Saccharomyces cerevisiae S288C: one gene and its partners. The gene in region 2 interacts genetically with the main gene of each other region. Each region holds a gene or a part of one and is shown on either strand. Other genes may lie near its edges. The genes, in order: NAP1, CDC11, MOT3 and VHS1.

Evidence for each region.
Region 1: mutations in CDC11 (region 2) and NAP1 together harm fitness more than expected from each alone (negative genetic interaction), as found in Saccharomyces cerevisiae (3 studies listed by BioGRID).
Region 3: mutations in CDC11 (region 2) and MOT3 together harm fitness more than expected from each alone (negative genetic interaction), as found in Saccharomyces cerevisiae (3 studies listed by BioGRID).
Region 4: mutations in CDC11 (region 2) and VHS1 together harm fitness more than expected from each alone (negative genetic interaction), as found in Saccharomyces cerevisiae (3 studies listed by BioGRID).

Annotation. Positions count from the first base shown.
Region 1 is NC_001143.9:522,942-530,870, reverse strand, and holds NAP1 (histone chaperone NAP1), read left to right. Parts: upstream 1-4,230; coding exon 4,231-5,484; downstream 5,485-7,929. Other genes in the region: TRK2 (Trk2p), read right to left, coding at 387-3,056; FMP46 (putative redox protein), read left to right, coding at 3,640-4,041; PLN1 (Pln1p), read left to right, coding at 5,797-6,648; YKR045C (uncharacterized protein), read left to right, coding at 6,902-7,453; UIP5 (Uip5p), read right to left, coding at 7,525-7,929. UniProt on the Saccharomyces cerevisiae protein: Acidic protein, which assembles histones into an octamer (in vitro). Involved in the regulation of the localization and the function of the septins during mitosis. Involved in the function of B-type cyclins.
Region 2 is NC_001142.9:574,854-578,739, forward strand, and holds CDC11 (septin CDC11), read right to left. Parts: upstream 1,749-3,886; coding exon 501-1,748; downstream 1-500. Other genes in the region: HOC1 (alpha-1,6-mannosyltransferase), read left to right, coding at 1-318; MIR1 (Mir1p), read right to left, coding at 2,402-3,337. UniProt on the Saccharomyces cerevisiae protein: Septins are GTPases involved in cytokinesis that assemble early in the cell cycle as a patch at the incipient bud site and form a ring approximate 15 minutes before bud emergence, which transforms into an hour-glass shaped collar of cortical filaments that spans both sides of the mother-bud neck.
Region 3 is NC_001145.3:407,643-411,439, reverse strand, and holds MOT3 (Mot3p), read right to left. Parts: upstream 2,287-3,797; coding exon 814-2,286; downstream 1-813. Other genes in the region: TVP18 (Tvp18p), read left to right, coding at 175-678; NAT4 (N-terminal L-serine N(alpha)-acetyltransferase NatD), read right to left, coding at 2,874-3,731. UniProt on the Saccharomyces cerevisiae protein: Transcription factor that affects the expression of a large set of genes. Recognizes and binds to the consensus sequence 5'-[CAT]AGG[TC]A-3' in the promoter region. Plays a major role in the repression of a specific subset of hypoxic genes (e.g.
Region 4 is NC_001136.10:951,631-960,036, reverse strand, and holds VHS1 (putative serine/threonine protein kinase VHS1), read right to left. Parts: upstream 4,025-8,406; coding exon 2,639-4,024; downstream 1-2,638. Other genes in the region: YDR249C (uncharacterized protein), read left to right, coding at 235-1,356; YDR248C (gluconokinase), read left to right, coding at 1,698-2,279; YDR246W-A (uncharacterized protein), read right to left, coding at 4,704-4,904; TRAPP subunit TRS23, read right to left, coding at 5,090-5,749; MNN10 (alpha-1,6-mannosyltransferase), read right to left, coding at 6,056-7,237; PEX5 (Pex5p), read right to left, coding at 7,636-8,406. UniProt on the Saccharomyces cerevisiae protein: Probable serine/threonine protein kinase involved in the G1-S transition.

The DNA of each region.
Region 1 (7,929 bases), on a different chromosome or scaffold from region 2:
ACTTGGCAGATGCTTCTAGTGGACCTGTTGATGGCTTTGGTTGGTTATTATTATTATTATTATTCTGATCTGAAAGTGGTTTAGATCTCGTTTTCTGCCTTTTTTCGTAGGGGACAAAATGCAATTCAATTGTGAAAAATACAATAAGTAAAAAGAGGGAAAAAAAATGAACTAAAATTTTTCTAGAATAGTCAGAAATCAAAAGTATATTACGGATAGGATTCGTTGTGCTTGTTGAATCGTAGTGGTACACCTTTTAGGGTCTTAATCTTTCTTATTTTTCTTTTATATTTCGTTAAAGAATAATAAACTTCGGAGATAATACATATAATACTGAGAGAAAATTACGTTGGCTCTTATGTAGGTAAAGAGGGGTAAACTTGATTTTAATGCTTCCCCCAAAACTTTGTTGCTATTTTTTTCAGTTTGTGGGATCTCTTTTTGACGTAAGTAGTCATTGGATCCTCACCAACTTTGGCTAACAACTTACCCTTAGCTTTCATATCTTGTAAACGATCAATTTGTTCCAGTTTGTCACTTGGCAGCATGATGGCACGATCCAAAGTGTATGGTAAACCTCTATTTCTTCCTCTTATTAGCATGGCAATTATGACTAGCTTCGATAATACGGTGAACTGGGCAGATAGTGATGTGTTGGTGTTTGGGTAACCCAATGACAAACCCACTGTACCATAAGCGCTAACAACTTCAAACAATATAGCAAAGACATTGAAATCAGGTTTATTAACGTCTTCGATTTTTCTGCCCTCGCATATGCATATTATAAATAATCCAAGGAATAGGTACCATAAATCAAAAGAGAGTTGCCTCCTCAAATGAGCACCAACAAACGATTTTGGGGACTGTTTCTTCGGCTTGGACTTTGTAGATACAGTGTCTCGCTCTTCGGATTCGCCATCATGGTCTGTTTCCTTTATATCGTCTTCGTGGGTGATATTTTCGTCATCTTGTCCACTATCGTATAGTCCCAACGATTGCTCCTCATAAACATTCGTTCTTCTAATGGAAATCGCCAGCGGCAGGACCGAAACGTACATCATTAGCATATAAGACACCTGAATGGACGGGTGTAATTTACTTAAGTCAACAACGTTGAATCCAGCAGTTCTTGTGCATACAGACTGGAAGAGGCCCATGAGAGCTCGATAACCTTTAGCAACCTGCCTTACTACAGCGGAGTTGAAATCCAGAATTATGAAAAGAATCCAATCCGTAGCGTTTAAGACGACTAAAGTTGTAAACAGCCACCATGTGGGGCCGCTGGGGAACAGCAACGTAAAACACCTGCGCGGATGATCCAAGAGAAACCCAAGACTTTCCTTAAACTGAGATAGGTCTCTCGAGGTCTTGAACATGATCCAAATGATAAATCGTAACATAATTGGGAAGCCTGTATTGCCTATGATGATGAAGAACATCATGAAAATCAGCGGATACGGCGCAGTATCAAAGGAAACCATTGAATCAGCGGTCAAAGACAGACCCAAGTTGCTGAATGCACTCATTGCAGTGAAAAACCCCCACCAGGTTGGAGAAACTCCATTTCGTCTAATAATCTCTGAGTAGTGGTGCCTCGTACAGGCCCATGGAACGATGGTCACAAACGCCAAAATGTTGAATCCGATGTAGTATACCATGAGAATGCAGCACAGCAATCTCAAAGCACGATATTCGACACCGCCGAGTTCCTCCTTTTGTTGCTTTGTGAGTCCAATGAAGACGGAGTTTCTGCCAAAGGTTGGCTGCCACGATAGATAGTTGGTGCTCATTGTTCTGGTGAAGGGGTGGCCTATATCACCTTCACGTCGTTTTGGTTTGGGCGGGTGCGCTTGGAACTGTAAATTCAAAGACTCTTGCGGTGAAAAGCTCATCTCCTCATCAACAAAAGATGAAGGCGCCGACTTGGCCAAGTTTCTATGATTTTCAACTACTTGGCCTGAGGTTTTAGGACTCGGTGAAGCAGTATACGTTGGGATGTTACATGATTGCGTTCTAGATATTTTTTTCTTCTTGGTGACCATATATTTGTGAGGAGCACCGTCAAAGTAGTCATGGTCACCTTCATCTCTCCGCAAGCCAAGCAATTTCTGGAAACTTTTCGTCTGGGCTAGCTTGTTCAATTCCTGAGAAGATGGCAGGACAGAATGGCGTTTCAGTGAGCAGTGGGGGGCTCTTCTCTCATGACGTTCCTGCACAATGAAAGCGGGTCCATTGGTCTCGCTCGAAAAAGAATCCGTGGAGTTTGCGTTGCTCTTCTCTTGTTGTTTTTGTAGCATCATTATCGATTTGTAAATGTCTCTTGGGTCAACGTCTGAGGGTTGGCGCTTACTTGAGAAGTTTGGAGGCGAGCTTTGCGTGTCACTGGATTCCTCCTTAGAGGAGGAAACATTCAACGGTGAGATTGAGGACAATGCGGACGTGTCAGGAGAGTCCATCGGCACATCTGAAGCGGATTGTCGTGGGTCTTCTCTGGAAACAAACTTCCCACGGAACAGGTTGTCCTTGAAACTCCTACTTCGAGCGGCATTGCCACTGCTGCCCGATAGTTCCCTTTGTTGCAACGTCATGGTCCTTCTTAGTTTAAAATTCTGTTTGGAGATATCCCTAATGTTGTCGAAGTACCTTTCAAACCAATACAGCCTGACAAAGGCCAAAAACCCATGAATAAGTATAGGCGTGGACAGCAATGTAATGACGTACACCACTATCTGCTGGTACAGGTTGAAATCGTTAGTGCTCTTGGTGGCCAGCCCGCCCTGTGTAGACGCTCCAGCAGCCAGAAATAGCACATCGATGAACGCCGTGTTCTTGCACGGATATAACAGAATGGACCCGATAATCGACAGCGTGATCAGGTAGATATAGTGCACCACGATGAAGTTGGGGAAAACGTATTTAGCAATGGGTCTGCATGATTTTAAGAACCCGGAAATGAAGTCTCTTAGCCGATGGCCCCATGATTTCTTGTGCACCAACCGTAACTGGAAGGGCAGTGCCAACGAAGCCCTGGATGACGTCCTCTTAGCTGTTGGCATGAGTGGTTCTTACAGCCTCTTATCGTCGGTGAATAGTACAAAATAGCCTCTTTTCTCATCATCTGAAACCTAGTTATTCCAATATCATTTCTCTTTTTCAGCCGCACGGCCGAGGGGATTAGAAACGAAAATTCACATCTCATCCTATTCTTCGCAGGAGATCAAAAGTGAAAGAGAGAAACGGGAAACAACCATCTGAGCATGGCAGCTTGCATCAAATTATCAATCATCGTGTGATGTACCATGGCCTATTCAACGGCGGTACGCTTGTACTACAGGGCGCTTTCAGCGCATGCCGGGCACTCCCTTCTTTCTTCCGTCGTCTTGCATCTCTCTAATCCCGTCGCTATGCTCTGATATAACCGTTGCCAAAGTGTCAAGCTGTTGTGAAATTGTGCTGGAGGCATTGATGGTTCTTGAACTCTTCCTCTTTTTAGTCTGGCTTTAGCTTGATTGGGCACGGGCACTCAATGGACGGGGTATCCACCCAGCTTGGAAAGGGGCATATAAAACCAAAAGAGAACGTTAAGAAAAGTGCAAATGAAAATAACAGACCGGGAGATCGCAAACGCAAACGCAATAAATGTCGTTTTGGAAAACATTGCAGAGACAGCCACGTACCATCTCGTTGTTTACCAATGACATCGCGTCCAATATCAAGTCGCAGAAATGCCTGCAGTTGCTGAAGGGAGACGTCTCTCATCGATTCGACGTGGAAATCGCCAACCGCTTTCCCACGTGGGACCAGCTGCAATACATGAGAACTTCGTGCCCGCAAGGCCCAGTTTCGTTGCAAAGGCAGATTCCAAAGCTGGATTCAGTGCTCAAATACAAGCACACAGACCCGACGTTCGGGATGGACCTGCAGAAGTGTGTCCAGAGGGGACTTTGGAATCCAAAGGAGGCGCTTTGGGTCGACTGGGAAAACAAGTTGGTGGGAAATGAGCCCGCAGACATTGACAAGTACATCATTCAGCGCAAATAACACCTATATACCACTATATTGAACACATACATATTTTTATAACAATGGGCTATATCTTTTTTGTATTACCCGCGTAATTGGGAAAATTTTTCCTTTTAAATAGCAGCGTTTGGGATCAAAAATGGCAGTTTGATGGTAGATTAGGAGGATTTAGTGAGCCCAGTGGGACCAAGAGCAAAGCGCAAGATCATGTCAGACCCTATCAGAACGAAACCCAAGTCGTCGATGCAAATCGACAACGCCCCTACGCCTCACAATACCCCAGCATCGGTTCTGAATCCGAGCTATTTGAAAAACGGCAACCCAGTTAGGGCCCAGGCACAGGAGCAGGATGACAAGATCGGCACCATCAACGAGGAGGACATCTTGGCTAACCAACCCCTGTTGTTACAGTCCATCCAGGACAGACTTGGCTCGCTGGTGGGCCAGGACAGCGGGTATGTGGGGGGTCTTCCCAAGAACGTTAAGGAAAAGCTGCTGAGCTTGAAGACTTTACAAAGCGAGCTATTCGAAGTTGAAAAGGAATTTCAGGTGGAGATGTTTGAGCTAGAGAACAAGTTTCTGCAGAAGTACAAGCCCATTTGGGAGCAGCGGTCCAGGATCATTTCAGGACAAGAGCAACCCAAGCCGGAACAGATCGCAAAGGGCCAAGAGATTGTGGAGTCACTCAATGAGACGGAGTTGTTGGTGGACGAAGAAGAGAAGGCCCAAAATGATTCCGAGGAGGAACAGGTGAAGGGAATTCCCTCATTCTGGCTAACCGCATTAGAGAACTTGCCCATCGTTTGCGACACGATCACTGACCGCGATGCGGAAGTTCTGGAGTACCTGCAAGATATTGGTCTGGAATACTTGACGGATGGTAGACCCGGTTTCAAGCTGTTGTTCAGATTTGATTCTTCCGCCAACCCATTCTTCACCAACGACATTCTGTGCAAGACCTACTTCTACCAGAAGGAGCTCGGTTACTCCGGGGACTTTATCTACGACCACGCAGAAGGCTGCGAGATCAGTTGGAAGGACAACGCCCACAACGTCACTGTGGACCTAGAAATGCGCAAGCAGAGAAACAAGACCACCAAGCAGGTGAGGACCATCGAGAAGATCACTCCCATAGAATCCTTTTTCAACTTCTTCGACCCTCCCAAGATCCAAAACGAAGACCAAGACGAGGAGTTGGAGGAAGACCTCGAGGAACGTCTAGCTTTAGACTACTCCATCGGGGAACAACTTAAGGACAAGCTAATTCCTAGAGCCGTGGACTGGTTTACCGGCGCAGCCTTGGAATTCGAGTTCGAGGAGGACGAAGAAGAAGCGGACGAGGACGAAGACGAAGAAGAAGATGATGATCACGGCTTGGAGGATGACGACGGGGAATCTGCCGAAGAGCAAGACGATTTTGCTGGCAGGCCGGAACAGGCTCCTGAATGCAAGCAGTCATAATCCCAACGCACTTCGCAAGAGTGGTCATAACCGTATTCATATATTTATATACATATGTATACATACATATATAGATATATATATGTATATACATGTAAGTGTGTAAGCTGAAATATATGTTAAAGCGCATGTAACTAAGACGACAATAATAATAATAATAATGATAATAATAGCCTAGATTTTCTCCGCCGTGGGGGATGATCGTATTCTTTCGGATTTAATAATATAGCAGCAAGGGTTATAAAAGGAAAGATAACGGAATGTATCGGTAATCATTAACCATCACTCACTCTCCAGAACCGTAGCGTAATTATGTCTGAATCATCTATTTCTTCTTCTAAACCATCTGTGGAATTGCCACAAGCAACCTGGTCGCATCTGCAAAGATACCCAGCTTTATCCAAGTTTATTAAATATGCGGAATCTCTGCCACCTGTGGAGAGATTGATTTCCTTCAACCTCGTTGTTTTGGGATCTGTGAACCAGTGGGTTTCCGAATCGTCCAGCTCTCCTCGTCTGGTGAAGCAAGTTGTTGCTGCTGGGAAGGAAGGGGCCTTCAAGTTGGACGAGTTAGTTAACCTCTTGGTGTTCAAGGAGGGTGTCGACGGCTTGCTGTACAATTGGAAATCACATTCCAACACGCCAGGGATCTGGCTGGTGTGGTTCTTCGTCGACTACGTCGCCAACATTTCTAATACTCTGTTGAGGGAGTTCCTGATCAAGCCATTGCACTTGCAAGGTTCTACCGCATCGAAGGAGATCGGCTCTTCCGGTGAGGAGAACAAGGTCACTGATGCTTCTTCTTTGCCCCACGTGGCAGAGTTGTCTTCAACGACCAGAGGTATGTCGCAGGAGATCCAGTCCAAGGTCAAGTCGAACTATATCGACCCAACCAAGGACCTGGCTAAAGAAAAGTACGACGCCATAGTGAAGCCCACAACTGACAAGTTGCAGTCTGTGTACATCGACCCAACAAAGACTAAGCTTAACGAAACCTACCAACGCTTCACCACTGTCTATGAAAACAATCTAAGTAAATCTGAAAGCGTCCCTAAAGCCATTGTATCCACCGGGTTGGACTTGGGCAATGCCACCATTGAGAAGCTAAAGGCCTCAAGAGAAGACCAAACCAATTCTAAGCCCGCGGCTGTGTCGACCAATTAGTAATTTGGTTTTGCGCTAATCGTGCGCCTGATTTTTTTTCCTGCCACTCTTATATAGTTATTTGTTATTATTCTATTATTTCATCTATTGTTTGCTAGCTATTATGTACGTTGCTGTTTGAGCACTATATACAATTGAATACCAAAGAAAAAATTATAAAAACGAAAAAAAAAAAAAAAAAAAAAAATTTGGTTATAGCTCGATCAAGAGACAATAAAAGTGAATATACATGGTGCCAAGGGAAAGTCCTAGCATGTCAAACAGTCATCATACATCCCAGGGAAGAAGAAACAAACTTTCAGTGTGGGTTAAAAAAATAATAAACACCACTACCACAACTAACGCATCGGTCTCGAGCAGTAAACCAAGACGCGGCACTAGGGCTGGCCCCACAAGAGTTAAGCGTGCTGAGTTGGATCCGGATGGAACAACCATCAGTTCGTCGTTGCGACCATTGGTTGATCGAAATTCGTTGCATTCGAGCGAATCCGATGACGAAGGAGACCGTCGAGTGGCATGGGATGAACCACCAACAGGCAAAGTAAGACAGCAGCAGCAGCAACAGCAGCAACAACAAAACGACAACGCAAGTGTTATTCCGCTAGTATCGTTTTGTTCCTCGTCAGTGAAGTCGTCTACTTTCTCGGACATTCATTCAATACAGTCTACGAGGCCCACAATATTCTCTAACAGGACGTTTGAGACGAATTCTAGCGTTCTGGCCATCCCACCACAGAGTATATTGGATCGATCAAGAACCCTCCCGCCGTCGAACGCAAGTAACACTACCACAAGAAGACCGTGAATTGGCTACCTAAGATGAACGTCCTATATTGTATTATTTGTGTATGTATGTATGTGCGTGCCTATGCAATGCTACATGGGCAATAGCCCCACAGAATGCGAGCCTGCCCTTTTTCTTCTGGATCTAATTTTTTTGAACCTTCTTTGGAAAACTCTTATGCAAGCAGAAAAAAGATAAATGCCCATGATCAATAGCAAAATCTCGCTATAATGCCATATGGTCAGCACGACCTTGAACAACCGAGAGTGAGGATTGTTTGAAGTTTTCTGTTCAGCTGACTGTGACCCAGTCTTGATGTTTGGTTGAGCTTTGATCATTTTCCATTTGGTGAACTCATCGGGTTCCCTGTCAAGGACCTCGCCAAATTCCTGCTCCAGGAATAGCTCAGCTTCCTTTGCGTAATCATAGGTGTCCTCAATGGACGCATCCATGTCGTTCCAATGGAATTCGCTAGTGGATACGTCCAGCAGCTCCAC
Region 2 (3,886 bases):
AAGAGGGACGACCAACTAAACGTCAATCTAAGGAATGATCTGAATATTATGAGTTGGACGGGTTCTGGGTTGTGGACTGACACTATTTTCACGTATTTCAATGACTTTATGAGAAGTGGTGTCAGGGAGAAGGTTACATGGAAATTATTCCATAACCTAAATCAACCAAAATTGCTAAGTGATGTTCTGGTCTTTCCAAAATTCTCCTTTAACTGTCCAAACCAAATCGATAATGACGATCCACACAAGAAATTCTATTTCATTACTCATTTGGCATCACAATTTTGGAAAAATACTCCAAAGGTGGAGCAGAAATAAGTACTTCTACGCAGATATAATAAGGAACTTTTTTGTTAATTTTTTTTTGCTGATCGATATTAATACTTTTTAAGAATGAAGAAAAAAAAAAAATAATATACCAGATGTATTTACTTATATACAACACTCACTCTTTATATATATAGAGAAAGAAGAAATAAGTGAGGAAGCCAAAAGCGGACTCATTCTTCCTGTTTGATTTTCGCCTCTTTTTCCAACCTGGCTTCAATTTCTCTTAATTCCTTTTCTCTTTGCAACAGTTCTTGTCTTTTCAACAGCAGTTCTTGCTGAACTCTCTCCTCAAATGCCTTTAGTCGCTCTTCTTCTAACCGTATTTGCTCCTCACGTGTCATGTAGGTTTCGTTATTTTCGCCAGTGCTTTGCCCGTGCATATCGGATGCTGGGTTGAGAACATCGTTATTAATATTATTACTTTGCTTGAAGGGATTTGTGTTTCTCCTTGTTGTGGTGGACGATGACGACGAACCATTCAATTTTGTCAGATTTGGACGTATGGATTCTGCCGCGACAGATTCACCTGATAATGCCTCGGTTCTATATCTTTCATATAATATCTCATGTGTGTAGTTTTTCAAGTCATGTAAATGAGAGATCAATAACGCATTCCTTAAGATAACAAAATCAGAGATCGATGAATCTTCCACGTCCAGTATGCCCCATGGATACTTTCTGCCACGAATTGTCCCAACATCGCCGCCCATTTCGTAAACTTCATTGGATCCAATAATAGCAAAAGGTAGAAGTGTACGTAGGTACATATTGGTTTCGTAATCTTCGTCTGATATTTCATCTTCATCGAAAGGGAAATTATAAATTGGCAAGTTCCATCTGTCGATATCCTCCATGATCAATTTTTTATTCAGTTTCAGTTCATCTCTTGTCAAGGAATCTGATTTGCTGATCACAGGGATGATGTTAACTAAGGATCCCAACTGTCTGATGAATTCCACATCAATCTCTTTTAAACCGTGGCCAGTTGGGTTGATTAAGTAAAGACAACAATGAACTCTGCCGTCCTTAAATCTTGGGTTTCTTCTCACACGACTTTCTTCCAATAAGATTTCATCATATTGGTGGCGAATGTAGTCGGAAATGATTTCGAAAGATGGAGAATTGTCGAGAGAATCACCGAATCCCGGAGTATCGATGATATTAAGTTGAATCTTGACACCTTCATCATCTTCTAATTCGACCGTCTCCTCTCTCAATTGTAAGTCTATTTCTGTGGACGTATCTGTGGGTAACAAGATTGTCGTCGAAGTGTCTACAACTTGCTGACCGCACAAAGTATTTATAAAAGTCGATCTACCAGATCCGGACTGGCCCACGATCATCACAGTGAAGGTTATACCTCTTTTCAAATGCTTTCTTTTTCTTAATGCAGAAGATGCGTCAATTATTCCGGACATGGCTGGTGGTTAGCAACTTTAGGCCTTGTGATGATTGACTTTCTAAACGGCTCCAGATCGGGTCGCCAATACGTGGTGTCTACCTATTTTACTTTTCGATCAAATACTTTTTTGTTTATTTTTCTTTATGTTAGAAGGCGGAAAAATAAAGAATACTGGCGATCCTGCATGGTCGGGTAACGACCCACGAGCATTGTGTTGTGTAAATATAGCCATATTTAAGCTATATTTATCTGTATAACATATACGTGTCCGTATGTGCCCGACCAAATATGTTACTGCGATGAAATGGATTGAGAACGATGTTTAAATGTTATGTTCCATGTTGTGTTTTCCACCAAAAAACCGTGAAGGACAATTCAATGAGCAAAGGGTTTAACGGAGCTATAACCTGCTTTTGTAGATGAAAAAATAGAAAATTCAAATATATATATATATATATATTTATAATAGCATGTTAATTTACAGATATTTGGACTTTTGCAAAGTCAGTAAATACATGGAATAAGAATACTAGTGATTGAATAGAGTACATTTAAACAGATTTATTTATTTCTTTCCTTTGTTGACTCTTTCTTAGAATATGAAAAAAAAAAGGGGCTCCGGTGGTGATGAGGAGAGAATATATATGCATGTATCAATCAAGACCATTTCTAATGACCACCACCACCAATTTCAATGGTTGGTGGGCAACCCAAAGTGCTCTTTAAAGAACCATAAATACCAAATTGCAAGGAGGTCAAGGTACCAACCATGACCAAACGAGTAGGCAACCCAGCAAAGGAACCGAAAAATCCTAACTGTTTGGCCAACTGAGCCAACAAACCGACTGTGGATTGGCCAGGAGCCTTCTTAGTCTTGTTGACCTTGGACAACAGAGTGTCTGCTGGCTGGGAAACAATGGCAGCGGCCAAACCAGCAGTCAAACCGGAAAGCAAATTCAACAAAGTAGTGGAAGTAGAGGACAATTTTTCTTTTGGACCGGCGAACCCGTAGTAGAACTCGGAGGCACGTTCAAAGACCAAGAATTTAGCAATGTTGTAAGGAATTTGCTTGAACAAAATTGGAGTGAACCCACTGTAGAAAGAGCCGATACCTTCTTCTTTCAAAATTCTGGAAAACCCTCCGACGAGTCCATTAGCGAACTGTGGTTGGGAGACCAATCTGATTCTAGTGGCTTCTAGGGGACACAAGGCAATGTCTGCCAAGAATTCGGCCATGGCAGCAGAACCCATGTAAACAGAGTTCTTGTAGCGAGAGGCGGTATCGTAACCCAAGTTGTCAATGAAGAACTTCTTGAACACTTCGTAACCACCGAACTTGAAGGCACCTTGGATAGAGTAACCCAACAAAGTAGGACCAAACCCGGTCAACAACGCACCAGCACCTTCTCCGGCGATGATTTGCTTGAAAGAGCCGACCATACCCTTGTTGTACACGGTAGGTTCCAGTTGGATTCTCGTCTTAACGACATCGATCGGGACCATACTGGAGTGAGTCGACCCGCACCCTATGGCGCCGGCTAGGGCGAATTTCATGTAGTCAGAGACAGAGTACTGTGGAATAGCAGGAGCAGCAGACACAGACATGGTGAGATGAGACTTTTTGATCTTTGTAGTTCTTCTTCTTGCAGATCACTCTGTTCTTTGCGATGGTTCTTGTAGATAAAAAGATCGGGAGGATGGATCGCACTTAAAAATCTTCTCGAAACGGGCCGCGGCCGGGCATGGGACCCGTTCTCGACGCTGATTGGCTAACGATGGTTGGGCAGAGTCTCAGCTGCTGCTTGCTCACATTCGACAAAAGACTAGAGGAAAGCAGTACCATGCTGCGATACTGTTGCATCGCAGCATTCCGCTGTCCAAAAACAATACCTGTTGTATTGTTTGAGGCTGGCAGGCGCTTGGGTAGAAACAACACCCGATACTGGTGACAGGGCTATCTATAAATATTAAAACTTGACTCCGCAATTCGTCGTAAACTGCCTTAACCATCGTAATGGACGCCGTGCAAATGCTTCGACTTTTCCCAGTAGTCAGGCATTGCGCCAGACACTTGTGCTGCTTAATTGTCGTAATGAAAACATATCGGTAGCGGCCTTTTTTTATTTTTTTTCTCTATGGGCTGACGCTGTCACT
Region 3 (3,797 bases), on a different chromosome or scaffold from region 2:
ATAGTAGGGTAAAGGAGGAAAGTCTGTGGCTCGTAAAAAAGGCAAAAGAAAAAAAAAAAAGAAAAAAGGTGCTATATCAGCGAAGTAAAGATCCAGAATTCCCCTACTAGTGAAGTGGGATTGTAGGTCACCAGGAGAAGAGCAATAACAACTAAAATATACTAGTTTTCAATAATGGCTTTAAGTTTAGGACAGTTCATCAATGTGGGTGGTATGGTGAAGGATTTGAAAAGTTTCAACTTTAGCGTATATGGTAGATGGTTTGGATATATCAACATAATCTTGTGTATTGCACTCGGGATAGCGAATCTGTTCCACGTTAGTGGGGTGATAGCTTTTGGTATCATTAGTATAATCCAAGGGTTAGTGATCCTATTCATTGAAATACCATTTTTGTTGAAAATCTGTCCCCTTAGCGATAATTTCATTGAATTCATCAAGAGATTTGAAACAAATGGATGGAGATGTCTTTTCTATCTAGCAATGGCGATAATCCAGTATATTTCCATTGCAGTGATGGCTACGAGTCTAATTGTGGTAGCTGTCGGGCTAACGATATCGTCAATCAGTTATGCGGTAGCATATACTAAACACCAAGAGTTCCAGAATACGAACATTATCAAAAATCCTACAGATGACGATTTCCCTCACGAGGCCGTTGTTAGAGAGATGTTGTAATCAGTTCCGTACCATACATAAACTATATGTATATAATGTATATATGCATAATTACTTTCTAAATTTGTGATTATTACTATTATCTTGATTGTTAAATGAGTGGGAAGGGATATTTTGTGTGTCTATAAAGTCTATCTATTTGTTGTGACTAACAATAAGGTTATTCAAAACACGTTTAACGTCGTCCTTATTCAGTACACCATCATTGATTAAAGTCTTGATGTTTGTATCGTAACCGTTTCCATCTTCATTTTCGGGAGCTGTTGCTGCTGCCGCCGCGGCACCGGCACCGCCACTGCCGCTAGCGCTATTGCTGTTATTATTATTATTATTGTCGTTGTTATTATTAGAGGAGGAAGAATTGTTGTAGTTAAAGATGATGTTGTTTTTCTTGAGTTCGTCTAATAAATAATTTGTATGCTTGAGTTTCATATGCTGTAAAAGATTATCTTTTCTCTTCTGCCTGCTTAAGCACCAAGGGCATAGAAAATGTCTTTGTTGCGAGTGTGACAATAGGTGCCTTTTCAACCATGATTTTCTTTTGAAAGACTTCTCACAAAATTGGCATTGATGGATATATTTATGGTCTGATGATGGGGCAGGAACCAAGTTCGAGGCCACAGGGTTCGAAGAAGGCACCGGCGCAGGGGGATGGTTAGGTGCTGTCGTAGGACGTGGTTGCGGCATAGTGTTTATTTTCCAACCAGGAGGTAGATGCAGAGGTTGTGCCGGGTTAATATTGAGATTCAAATTTGGAGAAGGGTTTTGTTGTAGTTGGAATTGAAATTGATCCGTTATTATCGTTGGATGGTGCTGAGGAGCGTTGTTTGTATTTACAGCACCACCATTGTTGAGGTTGTTGTGTGTATTACTATGATGGTGATGGTGATGGGGTGGACCGGGGGCCGGGGCTGGGGCTGAGTGAGAAGAGTTGTTGCTGCCATTGTTAGCGGCGTTATTACCATTGTTATTGCTGTTAACTGCTGAATAGTAATGGCTTATGTATGAAGCAGGATTGAACATATATTGTTGATCCTGTTGCGGTATTGGCATATTCGCAGTGGGGAAGGAGTAATAAGCAGCCGCTGCAGCATTTGAGTTCATATTTGCGGCCGCAGTAAACTGGTTTGGGTGAATATTATTGTTATTATTGTTGTTATTATTATTATTATTGTTATTATTGCTAGTACTGTTGTTTGCGACAGTGTAATCAGAAGCAGAAATATTGCTGTTGTTGCTGTTGTTGCTGTTGTTATGGACAATCGGCGACGCAGACATATTGTTACCAGCCGTCACATTATTGTTGTTACTGTTATTACTTGTATACTGATAGTAAGGGTATATATACTGCTGCTGATGTAAGGGCATTGGAAGTTCTCTTGCCCCAGAGTTCACCATAACGTCGTCCTTGTTAGAGGAAACAGTAGTCGTGTTGAAAGGCTGTGACGCCAGCGAATCGCTGCCGATATTGTTAGTGTTCGACACATTTTGTAATATCGTGTGCTGCTGCTGTTGATGCTGATGCTGATGCTGTTGTTGTTGATGCTGTTGTTGTTGATGCTGTTGTCGCTGTTGCTGCTGCTGTTGCAGGTGATGGTCCGCATTCATTGCTCAAATATGATATGTCCCTTTACTATTTGCCTACTGTTGCCTATTAGTTTTCCTTCTGTTAAATCTTTTCTTGTACCTGTTCCTTCTTGAGGAATTGTTTTGTTCAAGTTTTCTTCCAAAAAAAATTCCTTTTTTTTCTTTTTTTTTTTGATTGCTACAAGGCCTTAATTCCTATTATTTGTTTCTATTTTTTCTCTCTTTTTTCGTAATTCTTCTTTAACTTTACATCAAAAGAGAGACAAAGTTTAGTAAATCCAGACGGAGTAGTAGTATAAATACTATCCAGCGCAGATCATGACAGGATGATGCGCCTTGGTAGGATAAAAAAAAACAACAGCGGAGGCTACAGCACATCTTTTGAGGAAAAAAAAGAAGAAAATCAAGAAGAAAAACGAAAAAACCGGCAATAAACACCGTTATCGCCACTACTCCTTGCCGTGCGCAGTTATCGGAAGGCGCCGAAGGCGGAGAGCAGGGAGCGTTGTTCGGGTCTCCTCAGTCGGAGTCAAGGATTCGAGTCGCGCCGCCGCGTACGTAGTTTTACTTTTAATTTTTTTTTTATCGCGCGTTGTCCCTGTCGGCTTTCACGGCATGTGAAGGCAATATACGTAATAAAGCGGATCGCAGGGCACGACTACACGTCCCCCACCATGTCGCGTGTGACGAATTGTGGGTGATGCTGGTGCGGGTGATCCCGGAGCGCGGTAGAACCCAAGCGCCTCATATAGTCGCCGGGCCCGAGTGTTATCACTGAATACGGTGAGTGCTACACCGAAGAAATTGTCGCACATGCGGCGGGTGTGTCGAGCTACGCCATCGCACAGTGCATGCTCCAGTAGCCGCCGACCGATTCCATGCCCGCGGTGCGCGCTAGCTACATGTACTTCGTAAAGGTATATCACGGGCACGCTAACCTCGTGTAAAGCGTCACCTTCGACGAGACCCGTCTCCTCTGTAAGCATGAATGAAGTAAATGCACCTAGCACGCCGTTGTCCCAGTAACAGACATACACAAGGCCGGCGCTTTTCATCTCTGCGAGTTTGTTTGCCTTCCATGGTTTCCTGTTGCCGTACATAATGCGCGAGGCCCGGCGATACTTGGCGCCCAGGTGCTTGTCTATCAATTGCACACAGGCGTCCAGCACTTGGTCGCCGCGAGATTTGTGCAGCTTGTAGTTTATACACTTGAGGCTGTCAACGCTGTCAATACTGTCAGTGTCATCTTCGGGGATGTAGATAATCTCCCTTTCTAAAATAGCGGTGGTGAAGTTACCGTTTCCATCTGTATCCTTGTGCTCGATGGATTCAGGAAATTTTTCCACGCATAAGTTTAAGAAATGTTGGAACATTGGCGCCATGGCGACCCTCCTTCTTTCTGTTAGGTGCTCCTTCGATGTTCGTATACAGTTGTAAGTGTTCTCACTATATACCGAAGAACGCATCTCAGTGGAAAGAAAAAGAAAAAAGAAAAAGAGCTAAGAAAAAAATCTTTTAATGGCGCGCGCGCA
Region 4 (8,406 bases), on a different chromosome or scaffold from region 2:
GTGCTATAGATAGGAAGATCTCTTTATTACGCAATATATGTTGTGTGTATTTAGGATAAGACTATATCGTCCAACCATACACCGCGTTTCATCTTGTCTTTTTTGCAGCTAGTAAGAATTAAGCATCAAGAATTGTTCAGTTTGCGATGAGTAATGAAATATATTTAAAGAGGACTAATGTTGTTAAAGTAAGCAGTGCTTTTTTCACGCAGTGTATTTTTAGAATAAGTGGCCATGGGTTATATTTTGACAGGATATTCTAGCCGTCATGATAAGAGAAAGAAACATGCACTTCCTTTGCATCGGTATGCATCGTCTTCGATAAACTTGCAGCACCATGTGCATCTCTTAGAGACCCGGGTTTCATCCAAGAGGCCAATATCGGAAGATCAAAGGACTATCAGGCTTCCTGCGAAGAAACTTAGGCATCATCAAAAGCTAACTTTGCAAGATTTACCTGTAGAGATTATTCAACATATTTTCGTTTTCACAAAGGGTGAACCGTCGATGGTCACCTTGAACAGGTTCTTCTATAGTTGCTTGAAGCCATCTTTTTCATTATTATCGAAGATCATGTGGGAAAAATATCTTTTCGATCCCCTGGAGTTTGGCGTAAGTAATATAAAAGCTTATTCAAGAAATATTGTGATCCCTACATTATTTGAGCATGAAACTTTTTTTAGACTACTACTAGATCATCATCCTATCCTGTTGAAAAATATTTCTCATTTTCTTCCCAGAAAGCACTATCAAGATATGCAGAATGGCGATTTTGATACATCTAAAGAGCTAGACTTGTGTTCAATGAACACTGAAGATACATCGAAAGAAGACTTCCCTAAAAACTTTTACAACAATATGCATATTTTTTTAACACGTAGGGAATGTGTGAAGTCTCTAGGTAATCATTTTACTTTGAAGAATCCATATGATGTGATATCCCCTTTTATAGAATGGTTTTTTCAAGGTATTGATATGCAAGGAACTGACCTAAGCCCTAAGTTTACCTTTGTTTCTCTATTTGAATCAATAGATTTAATCCTATACGTCTCTGGATCTACAGTGCAAAAACTAGCGTCTATTGAACCCCTTACGACTGTAATATTTTTATTATATTTCACGTATGCTGATTCACTAGGGAGTCTGAACTTTGAGTTTTTTTTGCAGAATAGATCAAGATTACAGCTCATAGAGAAATTTATCCTGAAATATTATTACAATCCATCATTGACAGAAAACGAACTTTTATCTGATAGCACTATATGGGACCTGTTAAGGCGGGTGTCTGATTTAAAACTCATAGATTTGGTCGTTAAATGCGGCGGAAGGCCTCAATACGGGGTTATGTTTGCATAATTAAATTACTTAGTATTAAGATTCTGCCCCTTGCATGCATGCACAATATGTGCTTGCCAATTCATTTATGTACAAAAGATGGTGTTATATAAGGAATATATTTTGTTTTCTTTGATATTTTCCCTTTCTCATATTCTTGCGGTTTTTCTGCTTTCATTACGTCGCTAATTAGTTTGTCAAAAATTATAACACCGTTAGTTTCCAAGCAATAATTATATAAGGTCCCGTTAAAAAATATCGATAATCAAAAGGTTTTCAAGTAGCAAGCAATAAATAGCTTTCCGAAGACTAAACAGGCTTTCATAGTGTCTCAGTAAGCGTATGGATGGACAACGCAGTTGATGACAGAGAAACACAAAACTATGGGGAAATTTAAGGTTATTGTATTGGCAGGTACTGCAGGTACAGGAAAATCAACCATTGCAGGTGAACTAATCCATGAATTTAAAGATATATACCCGGATTTGAAATTCATCGAAGGTGATGATTTACACCCGCCTGCCAACGTAGAAAAGATGACAAGAGGGATTCCATTAAATGACGACGACCGTTGGGACTGGTTGAAAAAAGTTGCCGTAGAATCTACAAAAGCTGCAGCAAGCACTAAGGAGCATTTGTCAATTGTTGCTTGCTCGAGCTTGAAGAAGAAATACAGAGATTTGATTAGGCACACATGCCCTGAATCGGAGTTCCATTTTATCTTTTTGTATGCAAGTAAAATAGAAGTTCTGAAAAGGCTCAAAACAAGGAAGGGTCATTTCATGAAAGCTGATATGATGGAGTCTCAATTCAGGGATCTGGAGTTACCAGACATCAACGACGAAACTGACTGTGACATTGTTCCCTTAGATTTCAAAACGTTTTATCAAATTGAAAAAGATGTTATACAGGTGGTAAAAAGTAAAGTTTTGAATATTGAGTAAATAACGCTTGGATAAAACGAAGTAAATATTAGAAACAGTTATATAGAAATTAAATACGGTGACCTGGAAAATTAACAAAGACAGAACAAATGTGAATGAATAATAATAGCAACTTCCAAAAAAAAAAAAGGGGTTACAGGGATCAACAAAAAAAAGCAAGAAAAAAAATGAATAAAGGGAATACCATAAAAACAAATAACATTAAACGGATGAGGGGGTCATAACGGAAGTGTGAATATAACTACAACTTGCTTTGGCAAGTAATATTTTCGGGAAAACAGATGATCATCAAGAGAAGGTCTATCAATTGTGGGCTTAAAACAGATGTGTAGTACACTTTTGTGCCAAAAAGGAGGGGGTTAGTTAGTTAAAGAAGAGGAACTCATGCGAAGTTCGTTGAATTTTTTTTCGAACAAGGAAAATTTGTTGGAAATCTTAGAACATTCGTTATCGGACTCGCAAGAAGTGCTTGTGAACGAAGAATGCAATCCAGTGTCTGTGTCTAGCGTTCCGAAACTGCCACTGCGACTGCCATTATCATCGTCTATCCCTTCTTTGATTCCATCTTCTTCCTCACTTGAAGATGTATAAGATAAATTCTTGGCAGCTTTACTATCGTGCATGTACACGTAGGATTTTGGAGACAAATTCTCATTCGTGTTATCGACGGGGCTAACGAACTTTTCATAAACAGACTTGGAAAGAGGCGGCACTTTTGATAACGGGCCTTCATTGGTGAAGCTTGTAATAGAACTAACTTCTTTCATCAACTCTTGCAAGCTCATTCTATTCTTCGGATTCACTTGTAAAATCTTAGATAATAATGAGTAAAAGTCATCGGAAAGCGGTAGGATTTGCTTTAGTATATTGGGATCCTTAGTGAAATAATAGTAGGTATTATCCTCGGTTTTGTCAGCCTTCAGCCAGGGATTTCTGATGCATGTCAAATTGATAAGGATGATACCTAATGACCACAAATCGCCATTACATGAGGGACAAACCTTACCCAACTTATGTCCCCCACTTTTAGAGCTGGAAACTCTCCCATCAAATGAGATTCTTTCAGGGGGCATATAATACGAGCTACCAATGCAAACATTTGGCTTTATATATGTGGAAGTAGTGGATAGACCAAAATCGCATAGGAAAACGTTATCTTCTGTATCCAGTAGCAAGTTTTCAGGCTTGATGTCACAGTGGTAGATGCCGTGCTCATGGCAATAATTAAGAGCAGAACAGATCTGTAGAAAAACCTTTTTTACTAGCAGTCCATTAGTGACAAAATGTCTGTTATCTACAATAGACGTGAATAGGTCTGTTGGGTAATAATCCATGACAATGAACGTGCAGACTGCAGATTGTAGCACCTCATGTATGGTGACAATGTTCTTATGATGGTGGACTCTTAGGTGTAGCGAAATCTCTTTATAATGGGGCAGCTTTTTAAAATCTTCTTCTGACATATTCTCAATTGATTCTAGATCTATAGAGGGCACCCTGACAACGTTTTTCGATTCCTTGAACAGTTTAGCGAGCTTCTTTTGCAATTTCACGCTATTTTTGTGTATTTTATCATTGCCCATATCAGCCTCCTTGCTAACACCGTAACTTTGAACAACCGCTTTGATAGCGTATTGTCTATCGGTACGAATATCTAAGGCACGGTAAACCAGACCGTACGCGCCTTCGCCAATTTGAGAAGTTATTAAGTAGTTATTAATTCTGCAATTATGGAACATCATCATTACTTTTTTCTTTTTTTTTTTTTTTTCTTTCTCTTATTTTATTTTACTTTAGTATTTCACCTTAGTATATTATCGTACAGTAAATGTTAAGAACTTTTGTAAACGTAACTCATAAAACAAAAAAACAATGGTAGCGCCAACACCAGCAACAAAAAGAGGTAAACAAAAATATAATAGCAGTGACACAAATGTAAAAACGCTGTAAAGCTAATAAATCAAGTCTTTTCTTATAGCACTTGTAAGTATGAATAAATATCAGTGAGTCTTAAGGTGGCAACGGTAAGGGAGGGAGAGAACCAAAGCAGTTTTAAAATTAAAAATAAAAATAAAGGTTTAATAGCACTATAATATGGCACACTAAATTTAATTGAGGTACGTTTTAGGCTCCAGTATAAACAAAAGGGCACCAACGTCAACATGTATAAATAATAATAAATAAATCGGCGAAAACGTTCCAACGTGCGGCCGCTGCTTGGCAAATTAACTGGACGGGGTTAAGTGGCAAGCCGCGCGAATTAGCGGACGCGGACCTAGATACACAAGCGAGGACTGCTAAGTTAGGCCATGTTGGCGGGGGTAGTGGCGGTGGTGGTGGCGGCATCCCTTCCCCACGTTTTGGTCCCTTTAACGTAACTGGTAAAAGTAGGATCGACTACCCCTTTTGGGTTACACTTTGGTATCAGTCATCCATCAGCGGAAAAAATGGACAGCTTTGACTATCCCTATTGTGTACCCGGTTCCGAACTGGTGTTTCCGTACTCACGTGCCGAAAGCTGCGTAATAGTGCATTGGCAGGATATGATGTGATGGATTGTATGGTGTTTCCAGGGCAGGAAGGGAGTAAGAAAAAGGAAGCAAGATGACGATATAGGCGGCGCATTTTCTATCGCTGGTGTTGGGATGCAGAGGATCCGTCGCAGTGTGGTCTTTTTTCGTACGTAGTAGTAAAAGCTATCCCTATTTATGAAGGAGGAGACGGAGAGCGGCAACTTCTTCTTAGTTCTAGAAGTACGTAGTATTTATTTTCTTGGTGTGAATGCGTTTATCTTCCGATGGCGCGTGCGTCTATTGTAGGTTTTCTACCATTTTTTTGACTTTTTCGTCGAACAGGTTAGATCTTATAGGCATTTCCATTGAGTAAGATGGGTCTTTCATGACGTAGTCACTATACAAACAGTAAACCTTCCTTAGGAAGTTGTCGGCTATTTGGATGGCCAAATTGGATGTACTCTTGGGTCGGTCAGGCTTGTCGGTGGTGGCTATAGTTGGCTGTCTCTGGGGCATGACGCTGGAGCTGATAGCGACAAACTTCAGGCCGGTTAGGGTCTGATATATGAACATCGTGAACTGATCCGTGCATAGTTGTCTCAATCCGCTCTTGTTCCAGTTCGTAAATGGTTCTTTGAAAAAATCATCTCCTTTAAAACTGCCCAGTTTTTCATTATTAGTGTGTTTGTTGTTATTGCCACCTCCATTTCTTGTATCGCTCCTATTGCTGGACATGCCCACGTAAGGTATATATGGGATGGTATTTTCGATGTTCGTTTGTTGAGTTAGCTGTAATGCCTTCGGAGTCAGCTGGCTCGCGATGGCGAATACACCGTGCAGTGTACTAGCAAGAATTAAGTATTCATTGCTGTTCAATTTCTGTTCGTCGTTGGTAAAATTCCGCTGATAGATTAGTCCGCCTGATTTGTTTATTACAAGTATTGTTTCGATGGCCATTTCAATTTTTCCCGTTTAAATCCAACACTAAAATTGCACTTTTGAACTTATGCAAAGGCAGATTCCTTTTTTTAGTTTCACTCTTTTTCTTCTCTTCGCACCGCCCAACTCCTGCCGAGGAGGCATAAACTCCAACATATGATGGAAAAATAAAAGAATGTGTAGCATATTATTGAAAGAATCTTCTATAGGCCTAAATGTACATAAATTATAAAACAACATTTTAAAGCAGAACCAGTAGTGGAAATTAAAAAGAAAAATAAAAGCTTGTAAATGCTTCTCTTTACAATATTGATAACTTCCATTTTATGGGAAGAAAAATCTCGTGTACCATTTCCTATTCAGTTTTTCCATTAAAGTGGTGTAGTACTGCATCTCGCCCCAGCAATCTCTGCCAAAATTGCATCCGGCCATATTCACAACAAAATCATGGTCTTTCTCACTGTAAAAGTATCTTGAGTCACCACTGTATTCAGAGCATGCTCCCGGTGGGAATGCATTGATCGTTCTTAAGGGCAAAAATCCTATTCTCGAACGAATCCACGGTTCGTTTTCATATAATGCCTCTAACGCATCTTGTTCTCTATGTTCCCAAACCATATGTTTTTGTTCATACAGAACGGGGTCCCACCACATATCTAGAAGCAGCTTAGACCATTCGCTATTTTTTATCAGAAATGAGCCCAAATTGAAGCCTCCACAATCTTGTGTTATTAGAAACTCCATTTCCTCTGAATAATCGACATAGGGTATGTCGTCTCTTAGGTTTAGGGGATTAAAACTTTTCAATTCTCTGTCAGCCAGAGTTTCCAATCTGTCGAAAATATGTTCTTCTAATGATTTAGAAGGCTCCATTATCATAGTATCCAGGTCCAACCACCAGAACCATTCTGCATTAGGAAACTCCCTGAACGTCTGTCTCAATATATCTACTTTTTGCCAACCCTCTCTGTATTCGTGAGAGTATCTTTTGGACGTTGTCAAATCCTTGATAGTCAACGCATATCCATGTCTCTTCGCATAGGCCTTCTTATTTTCTATTGATATGCCTTCGATAGCCCATTCTTGCTCATTTTTCCACCTCAATACACCACCACCTTCGTTTGCCGCTAATATAATGACAATCCTAGGATCTTGATTCCAAAACGACCATCTTGATCTCTTAGAATATGGTGGTACATATCTTTTGGAGTTGATGCTAGAACCAGTATTACTCAACTTATTATCGTTACTATTTTGGCCTTGAAAACTTGTGGTAGATGGATTTCTGCTTATGGTGGAATCGCTTATCCATATGAATAAAAACAAAGCTAAAGATATTAATAGTATTAGCTTTCTCCATCTCGCTAGCGAACTGCATAAAGTTTTCCTCCAGTATATCATTTTATATTTCAGGCCTAGTTTTGAGCCTCTGCTCTTCTTTTCATCTTCATCGTACTCTAGATGGTTGGATATAGGAAGTTGGGAATTATAAGGTACACTAGACATATTGTATAGTTGTACATGCACAATTATTCCTTATAAAAATAAATAGAGAGCTTTTCTCTCCCTGATAAACCTCCTTTGGCCTTCAATCCAAAAATTCAGGTGCGGAATCAAAGATAACTTTTAAACTTTATATTTAAACAATTTTTTCTGTTTTGTTTGTTATGTAACATCCACTTGAGAAGAGCGAAAAAACAAGAAAATAATCAAAGAGAAATGTCATTATGGACGACTGTAAATAGAGCAGCAATTATGACCTTTGAATGCATGTTTTCCAAGGTTGAAATCTTGCTGATAGTATTTATAAGATTTTTTATTGCCTTATATATAGGATAGCTTGTACTGCTAATGCTAATGAATTTGGGCAGTGATGCGAGAACATAAAATTGCGGAGAACCATATCAAAACGAAAATTCTCCTTTAAATCTTTTCAGGTCCATGCCTGGCTTCACTTCTTGAAGTAAATCATCTCTATTCATCGCTATAAAAACTCTCTTCAAAGTCTCTATAACAGTATCATTGTACGTATTCAAGAGAGATCCAACGTCTCCTTTTTTATTATTAGTGTTCACTTCATGCATACTTAGAACACTTAATAAGTAGCCTGCTGCTTCTTTGAAACAGCCTATATTCATGGATGATACCGCCAGATTATAGCGAGCTCTAACAAAAGAAGGTTTTAGTTGTAGTGCCCTATGATAGGCTTGGATTGCTTCCTCTGATCTATTGGAATTGGCCAATGAAGCCCCTAATCTATTCCACATGAGTTCGTCATTAGGATTCACCCTCAACGCACTTTCAAAGCAATCTATGGTTTTGTCAAAATCATCTTTCGTGTAAAATAAGAGACCCAAGCATAGTTGTATTTCAGGATCTATTGTGCTTAAATTGTTTGCTAGTTGCAAAAATTGCTTTGTGATATGAGCGTTCATATCAATATGGGTAAACCCTTTCTCTTTTTGAAATTTGTCATCTTGTTGCTTGATCCTTGACCAAATTTCCGGGTACTTAGTTTCTGCCCATTTATCCAGCATTGTGAAGGCGCTCATATCATAACCTTCGTTTATATAACTTATCGCTAAAGTTTTCATTGCCTCCAGATTCTTTGGGTCTAACTTTAAACATTCTTCGAGGGCGCTTATGCCGTTCAACTCTTTTTCATTCTGGGTTTG